Linked DNA regions of Mus musculus. The protein of the gene in region 2 binds, or shares a complex with, the protein of the main gene of each other region. Each region holds a gene or a part of one and is shown on either strand. Other genes may lie near its edges. The genes, in order: Fermt2 and Itgb1. A codon is read from its position in the direction of its gene.

The links.
Region 1: the proteins of Itgb1 (region 2) and Fermt2 are in contact, whole or in part, in a crystal structure (PDB 8TEE), measured with the Mus musculus proteins. Residues at the interface, in NP_034708.1 of Mus musculus: Ala786, Val787, Thr788, Thr789, Val790, Val791, Asn792, Pro793, Tyr795, Glu796, Gly797; in NP_666166.2 of Mus musculus: Phe609, Ser610, Asn611, Met612, Lys613, Gln614, Trp615, Asn616, Val617, Asn618, Trp619, Glu620, Ala629 (codon at 3,308), Asp630 (codon at 3,311), His647 (codon at 3,362), Ile654 (codon at 3,383), Ser657 (codon at 3,392), Thr658 (codon at 3,395), Lys674 (codon at 3,443), Leu675 (codon at 3,446), Ser677 (codon at 3,452), Gly678 (codon at 3,455).

What each region holds. Positions count from the first base shown.
Region 1 is NC_000080.6:45,457,212-45,463,315, reverse strand, and holds the end of Fermt2 (fermitin family homolog 2), read left to right. Parts: intron 1-580; coding exon of another isoform or gene 581-601; intron 602-1,075; coding exon 1,076-1,200; intron 1,201-1,407; coding exon 1,408-1,549; intron 1,550-3,292; coding exon 3,293-3,466; 3' UTR 3,467-4,524; downstream 4,525-6,104. UniProt on the Homo sapiens protein: Scaffolding protein that enhances integrin activation mediated by TLN1 and/or TLN2, but activates integrins only weakly by itself. Binds to membranes enriched in phosphoinositides.
Region 2 is NC_000074.6:128,711,324-128,718,040, forward strand, and holds part of Itgb1 (integrin beta-1 precursor), read left to right. Parts: intron 1-1,884; coding exon 1,885-2,055; intron 2,056-2,603; coding exon 2,604-2,842; intron 2,843-4,798; coding exon 4,799-4,954; intron 4,955-5,883; coding exon 5,884-5,979; intron 5,980-6,261; coding exon 6,262-6,351; intron 6,352-6,717.

The DNA.
Region 1 (6,104 bases), on a different chromosome or scaffold from region 2:
TTAGCTCCCAGGGCCCTGGATGGCAACCTTTTGTTTCTCCTTCCAGGAAAAAGGATGCAAAAAGCAGATGGTAATTGAAGGCCTGCTGCCTTTGTGCAAATAGAGGACCAGTGTGGCCAGCAAGCTCACAGGCAGCCCTCAGCTCTCTCTGAGGAGAGTGCGTGTGTCCTGTCATCTGACTAAATCGGAAAAGGCTACATAGGCTTTTGACTAGTAACTGTTATTTCGCTACTAAAATACTTAGCTTTACCCTCACTGTAAGACACGTGAGGGAGAAGGAGGGGTTTGCCCTTTGCATTGTCTTCTGTGAGCTTCTGTCTTTAATCTGAGTGACACTTGCTGCAGTGTGGCGCCTCTGCTGTAGCCACATAGACAGCGATGGCCGCTTGCTGTCCCCATTCTCATCCTTCCTTGCGTTTCATTTTCACCTGAGTGCCCTTTCTTTCTGCATGGTTTTCTGCTGGAATTTGGGGTTGCAGGTACCATAGCCTTTTCTTTGCTTCATTGCCATTTCCTGATCGCCTCTTTTTTTTTCCCCCCTTTCTGCTTCCTTTTTCTTTCCTCGCATTGCCATCTACAGCCAGGCTGTGTAAGAGATTTGGTAAGTTCTCTATATGTACAGAGGGAAGGAAAGTAGACACTGAGCAGCCGTAGTCCTAGCCATCTGTCCCCCACCATGGGGGATTCACCCTAAAGCAAGTACTGGTAAATGCAACCAGAGCGGTCCTGTTTGGTTGCCATGGAAACGTGATGCTCTGCCTCCTGGTGTTCTGGTTTGCACTGCAGAACTCCAGCCGGCACCTCTGTAGCCATCTGGATGTGTTACTGTGCCATTCATTGCCCACCAGGATCTCTCGGTCCTGGCAGCTCTACACTAGAATCCCAATAATGCCTTGTGTGTGGTACATAAAAACTGAAATTAACATTGGTGCTTTGTTGGGATTCCCAAATGAAGCATTAGATAATTTTTAATTCCAATTCAGCATAATGCTATGGTTGCACATCATTTTTTAATTTTTTTAATAAAAGATAATAATGTCTGGTTATTTAATGAAACATTTAAAATTCTGTTTAGATAACAGCACGGATCTTGGAGGCCCATCAAAATGTAGCCCAGATGAGCCTGATTGAAGCCAAGATGAGATTCATTCAAGCCTGGCAGTCTCTGCCTGAGTTCGGCATCACACACTTCATTGCGAGGTCAGTGCGCTGCTGTGGTCTGTGTGTTCAGTTTGTCCGCCTCGTTGGCTTAGATCTTCACCATTGAAGGCAGGGCTGCTTAGACTACACTAACCTCTTCTACACCAAAACTTAATGCTATTATTATGTCTTATAATAGTTGCATTGTTTTTAGGGTTAGAGAAAATCCCTTCCCCCGTTCTGAGTGGTGTTTCTTCAATATTACAGGTTTCAAGGCGGCAAGAGAGAAGAACTTATTGGAATTGCATACAACAGGTTGATTCGGATGGACGCCAGCACAGGTGACGCCATCAAAACCTGGCGGTTCAGCAACATGAAGCAGTGGAATGTCAACTGGGAGATCAAGATGGTGAGCTAGCACGAACGCCCCTCAGGTGTCACTCAGTGCAGATAGCCTGAGGGCGTAGTTCAGGGTCTGGGTTTGATCCCCAGGACTAAGACAAAAGGTAGATTTTGAAGATTGGATTTTGTGACATGATTTGGTTGTGGTATTTGGCACCCCATTAACTGCTAAGGCTGCTTAGGTTATCAGGCTAGTGAAGTTTAGTGTCTGCTCTCTCCTCTCATACTGGGTGGAGCAGACGGCATTTCCTGATGAAGAAAGACAGCCTTCCTTCTGCCAAGGCTGTCCGAGTAGCTCTGTTCCCATGCTAGAATCTTCAAGTAAGCTTTTAAAGGCCACCATTGGATAGCCAAGCTGTAAGACCCTATCCCCATCCCAGTGAGACCCTGCATAGGGTAGTCTATTTACAGATAATCAGAGTAGAGATGGCTCCAAAGCTGAGAGCTGTTGTTACTCCTCCAGAGAACTAAGGTTCATGTTAGCACCCACAGGCATGGAGGTTCACAACCTCCTGCAACTCTTATTTCCTGGGAATCTGATACTCTCATCTGGCCTTGCAGACATACATGCAGACACAACACATGTACTCGTAAAATACATACATACATATGTATGTATATATATATGTGTGTGTATGTGTGTGTGTGTATGTATACATATATATACAGAGAGAGAGAGAGAGAGAGAGAGAGAGAGAGAGAGAGAGAGAGAGAGAGAGAATAGCCTGGGCTACAAAATACAGAAGACTCTCTAAAAATATGGATAGTAAAAAATAATCTTTAAAGTGCAGACCATGTGGTTGGTTACTCATTTCTCACTTGAACTTACCATCCATACTTAAGGATATCTTTCTGTAACAGCTTCTCGAAACAGCAGTCAGAGGTTATGTCCTGTGCCTCCTCTATGGGGTCAGACATGACACTAGACGTTTGCACTTACACTGGCCTCTATGCCTCACCTCAGCCTTCTAAAGCAGGCAGGTTGCCTGGACTTCACAAATGAGGACGCTCCCACTTAGAAGCCTAAGGGCTGCTTAGTGTCCACGCCCACACACTTGATGACTGCCGCAGCAGGGTCTGTAAAACCTGGTGCGCATCCCACTATGTAGCTTGGTGCCCTTTTCTTTGTTACATTGTGATCATATAAAACCGGCTCACTGGCAGGCGATTTTGCTTGGCATATATTGGATACACTGTATTCAGCTGCTATCAGAAATACACATCGGGGGCTGGTGAGATGGCTCAGTGGGTAAGAGTACCCGACTGCTCTTCCAAAGGTCCGGAGTTCAAATCCCAGCAACCACATGGTGGCTCACAACCATCCGTAACGAAATCTGACGCCCTCTTCTGGTGTGTCTGAAGACAGCTACAGTGTACTTACATATAATAAATAAATAAATCTTTAAAAAAAAAAAGAAATACACATCGTTCTGAAATATTTAAGCTTGATACCTAAAGACTACATATTGAAGCGAATGTTAAATAAGACTCAAGAAGTAAGTTTTCTCCCAGGACCTAAAGAGGGCCATTCTCATTAATTGCATCACTAGAGACCACTCGGGACCTTAACGACGTAAACGCCTTGAGAACTTGCAAACGAAAGGGATGTGGGGATGATACACTTTTCTTACTGTTTAGACCTATGACATCACTGACATGATGGCTGTTCCCACGTCCCTGCGGGGTGGAGTACCATAACTTAAAGTCCGGAAGCTTCCGGGGAACTGACAGTTCTTTGTCTTTGCTCCAGGTCACTGTAGAGTTTGCAGATGAGGTCCGGTTGTCCTTCATCTGTACCGAAGTAGACTGCAAGGTGGTCCACGAATTCATTGGTGGTTACATATTTCTCTCAACTCGTGCGAAAGACCAAAATGAAAGTTTAGATGAGGAGATGTTCTACAAACTCACCAGTGGTTGGGTGTGAATAGGAAAACTTGTAATAAAACTCCACAGCCATAACAATATTTAACTTTAAAGCTATTGTTTCTTATATGCTGCTTAATAAAGTAAGCTTGAACTTTATTATTTTATCATGATACCTTTTTGCCTTACCAGACCAGTACATATGTGCACTAACAAGCACGATTGTTAATCTGCTGCCTACCTTGATATGCCGTATGTGGACTGTGGAATTCCCAACAGTCCTTAGGGCCACGGAAAGCTGTCACTGACTGACAGTAACCAAACTAAGAAACAAGCCATCTACCAAGCCACCCAGGGCATACATATAACCTATATGAAGTCTATTTATCATGTGTAATGCATGTGTTTGTGTTTAATTGATGCCTTCTTTTAAAGTACCCTGCTCCTGGTACCCAGTTAATCCCCTCTCCCAGTATAAAGTCGGTCTACAGTGGATGCTTGGTATTTGTTGATGCTGTTGACCTTGAAGGAAACACTGCTAACCTGTTGTTATTGGGTGGGTTTTGTCTTTGAGTAAGCATGCTGTACATTGTTTTGTGTTTAGTTTTACACCAAACTGTATTACAGTACTCTTAGTATTCACCAGCATACTCACTATCTGCCTAAGATATGCAGCCTTTGTGTTACAATATGAAGTAAAGATCTATGAAGTATTCATTTTGTGTAACTAATGTACAAACACAAATTTTATAAAATTGTACAGTTTTTTTTAAAAAAAACTATTCACAACTAGGAAATGGCTTAAATGTAGCATCCTTACATTAATTAAGTGCTTTTAAAATATATAATTAATTTGCAGTTTCAGTATCTGCTAAATTACGAATGACTTCATGATGCTCGTGACTTGCCGTGATGCCCTTAACTACAGCCTGGACCGGCTGTGTTCTAGTCTGTTGCGCTATTACATCTGCGTTGGTGCTAGTTAGACAATTCCTAGCTCACGAGCCCAGAAGGGCGCCAGGGAGGGGTGGACTTACCAGTATTGTCCAATAATCCATGAATTAAAGACTGTATAAATGCATTTTATTTTAAATAAAAGTAAAACCTTTTATTTAATGTTTTCTTTTGTACTTCTGATCTCTCTCAACTCTCCCAACACTGTGTGTTATTAGAACAGCCCGCCAGTGCTAGGCCATGTCCCAGATGAAGAGCTCTCTCTCTCTAGGAGACATCCTTTCTCCGGCATTGAGAGACCTTTGTGGTTATTCAGTTAGACTCCAGACTTTCATCATGGGCCTGGCTGCCACCTCTGTCAGTCCCGTGCCTGTGAGGCCAAGACAGCTTCTAAAAACCCAGCTCTGCTCACCTCTTCTGTCTCCCACCACCACTGCTTGCCCTGCCTGCTGAGCCCTGGTGTAGCACTGCCCTGGTTACCTAAAGCTCTGATGACTGTGCCCTGTGCTACAGAAGCTCAGGCTCCAGGTCCTCTGAGCTGGGGCATCTCCCTGGGGCCCATTTGTCCTTAAGCAGTCTGGACAGCCACATTCTCTAGGCCAGTGGTTCTCAACCTTCCTAATGCTGCAATACAGTTCCTCATGTTATCCCCAACCATAAAATTATTTTCTTTGCTGCTTCATAACTGTAGTGTTCTACTGCTATGAATAATAATATAAACATCTGTATTTTCCCGTAGTCTTAGGCATCCCCTGTGAGAGGGGGGTCAGGACCCACAGGTTGAGAACTGCTGGTCTAGCCATTCATCCCATTGCCATATTATTTACTAGCCCTATACCCTGTCCTCTGTCCAAATCTATGTCTCCCTTTAGAAATTTTAGTTTATAGCTGTTCTTCCATAAATACTTCTAAGTTTCCTTGCAGCCAAGCAGACTCTGCCTTCTCTGAACAGATGGCTGCATTTAATGGGAACCAAGGCAAAGCTAGACTGTGACCTGGCTTCGCACCTCTGTCCAGTCATATGGGAAGCAAGCCTTGGTAACCCTCACACCTGTCGCCAGCAGCCTCTATCAAGAAAGCGTTTTGCAAGAACACTGTCTAGGACTCCCAGAACCTGCATTCGAGTTTCTGTTCCCTGTGATTGTTCACAAGGGCATGGGAACAGGATATTAACCAAACTCCATCCAAATGTTGTTCTTCTCAGGCAGCAGGCTAGTGGCCTGTTAGAAGCTTCTGGTGTAGTATTGCCAACTCCACATAAACTAGTTTTCTTTGTAACCTTGAGAGATATTTTCCATTCTTTTGGTTTTTGGTTTTTTTGGTTTTGGTTTTTTCGAGACATGGTTTCTCTGTGTAGCCCTGGCTGTCCTGGAACCCACTTTGTAGACCAGGCTGGCCTCGAACTCAGAAATCCGCCTGCCTCTGCCTCTGCCTCCCAAGTGCTGGGATTAAAGGCGTTCGCCACCACGCCCGGTACAACATTTTCCATTCTTATCTCTCCAATGTCATACATTCAAGCGGCAAAGACAGGGCAGACTGTTCTGTTCTGTGTTGTCTAGTTGCGATTTGTGCCTTATTAAAAGGTTTTGAAATCAGTAGTGATAAAGAAGAATGAGGCCAGCCTGGGTTCTTGGCCCTTAGCTGAAAGACACCAATGCTCTGTATTTTAAAGTCAACACTAGCAGTAGTGAACACAGTAGCAAACCAGTTTTTTCAGCGTCTCTGTACTATATCTGTATCCAAGT
Region 2 (6,717 bases):
TCCATCCTGTTACTGCTGCCTGGCTAAACTTCAGCCTAGGAAATAGACATTGTTATAGTTTGAATGTGAAATGTCCCACTTAGGTTCCTGCATGCCGACTTTTGTTCTTGGCTTGTAGTGCTGTTTTGGGAGTCTGTGGAGCCTTCAGTTGCTGAGGCTTGACTGGCAGAGTGTGTGTCTCTGGGGGTGGGCTTTAGTTTCCTGAGTTGCCAAGACATAGAGTGCTGTTCCCTCTTGGTCCTGCTCTAACTTCTGTGACCTTCTTGAAACTGAGCCAAAAATAAATCTTCTTTCTCCTAAGTTGCAATGTCAGGAAAAGTACTTAGTACAGACTTCTTGTACATATACTGTAGTGGAATACTACTATCATTCTTTGACCTGCAGGATCCTGATCAGGACATTGATTATGTATTTGCCTAAGTCACATTTTATTTTAATCATCATTACTTAAAAACATTTTTTAGGTTTACTTATTTTTTATATGCACATTTTGCCTGTATGAATACATGCATATGTGCACCGTGTATGTACCTGGTGCCTGCAGAGGTCAGAAGTTATCAGATCCCTTGGAACTGAAGTATGGTTATGAGCTGACATATGTTAGGAGTTGAACCTGGGTCCTCGTAAAAGCAGCAAGTGCTCTTAACTTCTAAGTCATCTCTAGCCCCTCGTCGTTACTCCTACTGTGGGGAGCTTGTAAGAGGCTCTCTTCTTAAACTTAGGAGTCCATGTCACTGCTGGTTTTTCTCAGTTCCTTCCATTGCTTCCAATTTCCTTTTTGTGTTTTCTTCCTTTCATCCTTCTGCAAATTTAGGTAAGACTTGGTTTTCCTCTCATCATCATTGGAAATCATCATTCAGCAATGACATAAGCTTTTCCGTTTAGCTCTGTACCTGTTCTCCAGCTGCCTGCCAGGAAGTCAGGGAAAAAAGATCGTTTTTCATCTAAGCAGACCTTCCATTTTCTCCCATGTTTGTGTTTTATTTTGTGGTACTGGAGATAGAATTTAGGATCTCTCATGTGCTGGGCAAATGCTCTACCACTAAGCTGCCTTCCAGCTCTGTGCTTTTTAAGTAAGTAACATGTAACAACTTTTACCTCTCTCGCCTTCCTCATTTTTCAGTTTAGGCTTCATCTTTTTTTCTTGATCTTTTTGTAATTATGGCTTCACCTCTGTAACTTCCTTTTACAACTCTAAAGTAAAACTAGATCGTTACTCACCTTTGTGTAGCAGTGCCTTTACACAGAGAACATTTCACTCTTAACTTTAATCTCTACCTGTCTAGAATGTACCTTTCATTCTGCCAAAACTCATGGTGTTCTGATTTTCTCATAAGTTTTTGTGTAAATCACCTTGTGGTTACAGTAACAACTACTTGAAATACATGTAAAAAGAAAAGCTTATTTTGGGCCATAGTTTTAGAAGTTTTCATCTGACGGAGTGGCCTGTTGCTCTGAGCTTGTGGTGATGTGAGATGTCATGGTGGGGCATCTGGGAGATAAGACAGAAAGGAGGTCCCATAGACTCCAGGGCACATCACTGGTAACCCAAACCTCCTGCTAGTCCTTACCTCTCAAACTTCCCACTGCCTCCTGAAAGTACCAACACATGGGCAGATCCAAACTGTAGCAGAATTATTTGTATTTTGTGGGTTGCTGGAGAGGGCATTGCCTTCATCATTTTTGCCTCCTTAGGTCTTGGAGTTGTAAATGGTTGGTTAAACGAAATCAAGTGTGCCTGTTGAGGCGCTAACAAAATTCTTAGATTTGGAAAAAATATACACTTAAGACTATATCATTGAACATGTAAATTGGACTTACTTTTTTTCTCATTTTATTTTGATTACTGGCCATCTAATTTCAGTTTTGAATCTTGTTAATTAGGAGAACCACAGAAGTTTACATTAAAATTCAAGAGGGCTGAAGATTACCCTATTGATCTCTACTACCTTATGGATCTCTCCTACTCTATGAAAGATGATCTGGAGAATGTGAAAAGTCTTGGAACGGATTTGATGAATGAAATGAGGAGGATTACTTCAGACTTCCGCATTGGTAGGAATGTTGGGAACATTTTGTGTGTGTGTGTGTTGAGGGGTGGTTCTGCATGTGTGCAGAGCAGGCTATTGAGTGTCTTATGTTATCACTTTGTGTCTCATTTCTGTGAGACACAGTTTATCACTTACCTAGGTTTGTGGCCTATAATTTCCTGTCTTTTCCTGCAGCAGTGCTGGGGTGCAAGGTGTGTATGTGCACGCCTGGCCTTTTACCTGGCTGCTAGGATCTGAACTTATCCTCACGCTAATGCAGCAGGAGCTCTTCCCACAGTGCAGTCCCTGCAGCCTCCATACTGGGCTTTAGAAAAAGATGTGCATTTAGAGTTGGTGAGAGATGGCTCAGGGGATAAGGGTCCTGCCTTTAAGTGTGATGACTGAGCTCAGTCTCCAAAATCAGTTCCTGCTTGTCCTTTGACCTCCAGACATGCATTGTGGTATATGTGTGCACATCCTTCACCCAAATAAATAAGTAAATATCAATTTAAAAGTGATGTAAGTTTGTTGGTCTCTTCCCACTCATCTATCCAAGTACATTCTTTTCTTTAGGCTTTGGCTCATTTGTGGAGAAAACTGTGATGCCGTATATTAGCACAACCCCAGCAAAGCTAAGAAATCCTTGTACAAGTGAACAAAACTGCACCAGCCCATTTAGCTACAAAAATGTGCTTAGTCTTACTGACAGAGGAGAGTTTTTCAATGAACTTGTTGGTCAGCAACGCATATCTGGAAACTTGGATTCTCCAGAAGGTGGCTTTGATGCAATCATGCAGGTTGCGGTTTGTGGAGTAAGTGATTTATTTCTACAGGGGACTGTTAGCATTGTCTGTGGGGATTTATTTTAAGTGTTTTTAATAAAAGTTAGAACAAAAGGACCATAGCTACTATAAGATTACCCCGAGGAGCACTGATGTCAGTTCTTACGTTCCCACTGCTGCTTTCTCGGGTGTCTGTAATCATTGCATCTCTGTCTGAGCCAGAAAGGGAGTTCACACCTAAGGAGTGTGAAAGGCCAGCATGCTGTTTATTTGAAACAGTGGAACACAGATAGACTTCAGCCGGTTTAGGATTTTGGAAGAGGCTGAGGTTTTCAAACTTTGTGGCTCTGTACTAGAGATGTAACTGATGTTATCTGAGGTGTCTCTAGGAGCTCTGAACATGCCATGTGGAATTGTGTCTCATACCATGTTCCTCGGGTCAGTTTTCTATTTTAATAATAAAAGGAAAGAACTTTCAAAGCCCTGATTGATGAGCTATATGACAACTTTTTGTAATAAAAGTAGTAATAGAATATTTTTGGTTAAATTGTATTGTTTCTAAGGATAGTAAGCCTTGTTCTGTTGCACTAGGGACCAGTGTTTATGATCCATGGGTATTTCTGATTGATTTTTTTTTTTCCTGTTTTGAGAAATGGTCTTGCTGTGTGGCCCAGCCTATCCTTGAACTTGTAGAGATGTTTTTGCCTTTACCTGAGTACTGGCATTCCAGGTGTGCTCCACCATACCAGACCCTCAATGATCTTTTAATGAGAACTGAGGCTGAGAGTAGAAAACATTGTTAGGTCAATAAGGTTAGTCTGGAGAAAGTATAAAGCGTTGTTTTTGTGGAGGGAGGATTTTCCTGTCCTTTCTTGCTCCTAGGCAGGTGACTTTGTATCTTTAGAGCTGCGCCTTTTAGAAAAATTAACAACAGACAGCCCACAGGACAGTGGTAAGGACCGTTGCAGTGATCTGTATGAAGTACACATAGACACTCAATATATACTCACCACTGTTCTTATTTTTGACTTGCTACTGTAGTGCTCATAATTTAAAAAATAGTACTTCAGTATAATTGGCCTTAGCCTTCCTTATTCTCTGAAAAGCACTCTCCCCACTCCCTACTTCTACCCCAGTCACTGTGTGGAGAACATTTTCTAGGCTGCCTCTGCTTTAACCAGCAGGCAAACTGACCCTATAGTCCCGACCACCCATTTTCGGCTATGCTGCCTTTCTGAATTTGTCATACTTTAGAGCAAAGGAGCAAGTAACCTGTCTTTGAAAGATGATTAGAATCAAGAAAGTTAATTTCTATCTTCAATGAATTTACAAACATGTGTTGTTACTTTAAATTTAGAAAATAAATGTAATTAATTACATAATAGAAGAGGGTTTTCACATTGCTTAAATTCTTTGTTGAGTAAGCTAGTGAAATTACAAATGAACTGATTTCATGAGCTAGAATGTAGGGATTTAAAGTACAGAAAGATCTTTGATGATTTTTCTTACAGTAAGAAAATGAAACTAGTAGGTATGGTGGTGCATGTCTAAAATCTCAGTATTTAGGAGTTAGGAGCAGGGAAATTAAAAGTTCAAGCCTATCCTTAACTAAACAGTAAGTTTGAGGCTAGCATGAATTGCATAAAAGGCTGCTTCAAAAAAGTAAAGCCTAGTGTAGAAGAGAGCTGATAAGGTTTAATAGGGGTATACAGAAGTGTGGGTAGGAACAGGAGTCAGGATTGAGTCTCTATGTATTCAACATAGACTCAGTACCCCTGCTGAAAAGCAGACTCTGAATTGAGGCCAGTATGAAGAAGCTATAAAGTTCTGGAGGACCATCTCTGCACTGACAGCAACATTAGCCTTGGGACAAGAAAGACAATGATACAGAATTAGGTTAAAAGTGCAGTTGCAGCTTGACAACCTGAAAGCATTTATGTTGAGTTATTATGGGCAGTGTCTGCAGTTGACTTCTTTCTTTTAAAGTCGCTGATTGGCTGGAGGAATGTAACACGACTGCTGGTGTTTTCCACGGATGCTGGGTTTCACTTTGCTGGAGATGGGAAACTTGGTGGTATTGTTTTACCCAATGATGGACAATGTCACCTGGAAAATAATGTATATACAATGAGCCATTACTATGTAAGTACTTAGGCCTGCCTAGTGAGTGAGTTTTGGTGATTTTAGTGTAATCCTGAGCATGTGGGAGGGCAGGGTTTGCAGCTTTCTTGTTTTGGTTAGTGTGGGCCCTGATGATGGCTGGGAAAGCTGCATTGCTGCTTGTAAAGCTCTTGGCAATGTGCTATTCTGTCTGGGTGGTGGGAATGCTGAGATCCATCTGGTTCCTCACTTGAATACATCATTTGTCAGTCTTGCTGGTCATATTTCTAAATGTGCAATTTTTAACTAGGCTTACCCTCTATATCTTATGACTTAAAAATACACACTCTGGCTTTCATTGAAAGCAAATATAGGCAAATCACTCAGGTTCTAGAAGAAATCTAGTATTGGTGAATCTTAGTCTTAAGTGCTAGATAATGGGAACCTTTAGTTCTGGTTCCTTAATTTCACAGTCCTCACATTTAAAGTACATAGATTGTCTTGCTTTTGAAACCTCTTAAAATGGGACTGGAGAGATGTTCAGTAGTTAAGAGCACTTGGCAACTCTTCCAGAGGACCTGGGTTCAATTCCCAGCAGCCACATGGATGTTCACACCTTTCTGTAACTATCTAGTTCCAGGGTTTCAGATACTCTCACACAGATATACATGCAGACAAAATACCAATGAATATAAAAATAAATTATTAAAAAATGCCTTAAAAAATAGAAGTTCTTAAACATAGAAAAGAGAGACACGTGACCCAGCTTAGCACTTATTTGCATTTGATATTCTTTCTTGAAAGCAGTCTGTGTGAGTGCTCTGATTATGAATGCTTATTGACTCAAATACTGTACTCTTAGCAATTGAGAGTAAACCTGGACTATAGAGTGAGACCCAAACAAAATAAACAAAGCCTCATCATTGATTGCAATGTATTTATATACTAAATTGTATTACTTTATTCCTTAGGATTATCCTTCAATTGCTCACCTTGTTCAGAAACTAAGTGAAAATAATATTCAGACGATTTTTGCAGTTACTGAAGAGTTCCAACCTGTTTACAAGGTAATACAAAGAATGAAAGTTCTATATTTTTCCTATTGTTTAGTCATTAGTAGCTGAATTATATTTTTGGAATGTAAGAAAATGCCACAAGGCATTATGTTCAGTAGCTAGACTGAATTTGACAACCGTCATTTATGTTCATTTTAGTTGTGTATTATTAGGATTGTTATTTTAAGTTTGCCTTTGAAAGATACTTAGGAAATGAGGTGTCAAAATACTACTTTTCAGTGGATTTTAATTGGTTGAAAAAGTAATATTTATGTTTTACATATTTAATTTCAGGAATTGAAGAATTTGATTCCTAAGTCAGCAGTGGGCACACTGTCTGGAAACTCTAGTAATGTGATCCAGCTAATCATCGATGCCTACAACGTGAGTGCTTTAAATGCTGTCAGCTTCATGTCATGCCTTAAATAAAACACCCTTTATACACCTCAGCAAGCTGAAGAAACTATGCAAAACGTGAATTTAAATTCCATGGCTGGAGGAAAACTTGATATCATTATAATCTTTGAAAGCACAGTGTAAGCAGAGCAGTGGTATTTAGATAAAGGCATGTGCATAATTTCCAAACTTGTTTATGTGTCATTAGGCCACATATCTCCTCGTTGGAACACAACTGACATTTTGATGTATACAGGTTTTATTTTATCTTCTTTTTCTTCCCTAAAGCCACTTTTATCGATCCATCTTTTTAAGTTTTATTTATTTTTTCTTTTGGAGATTTTTTTTTTTTAT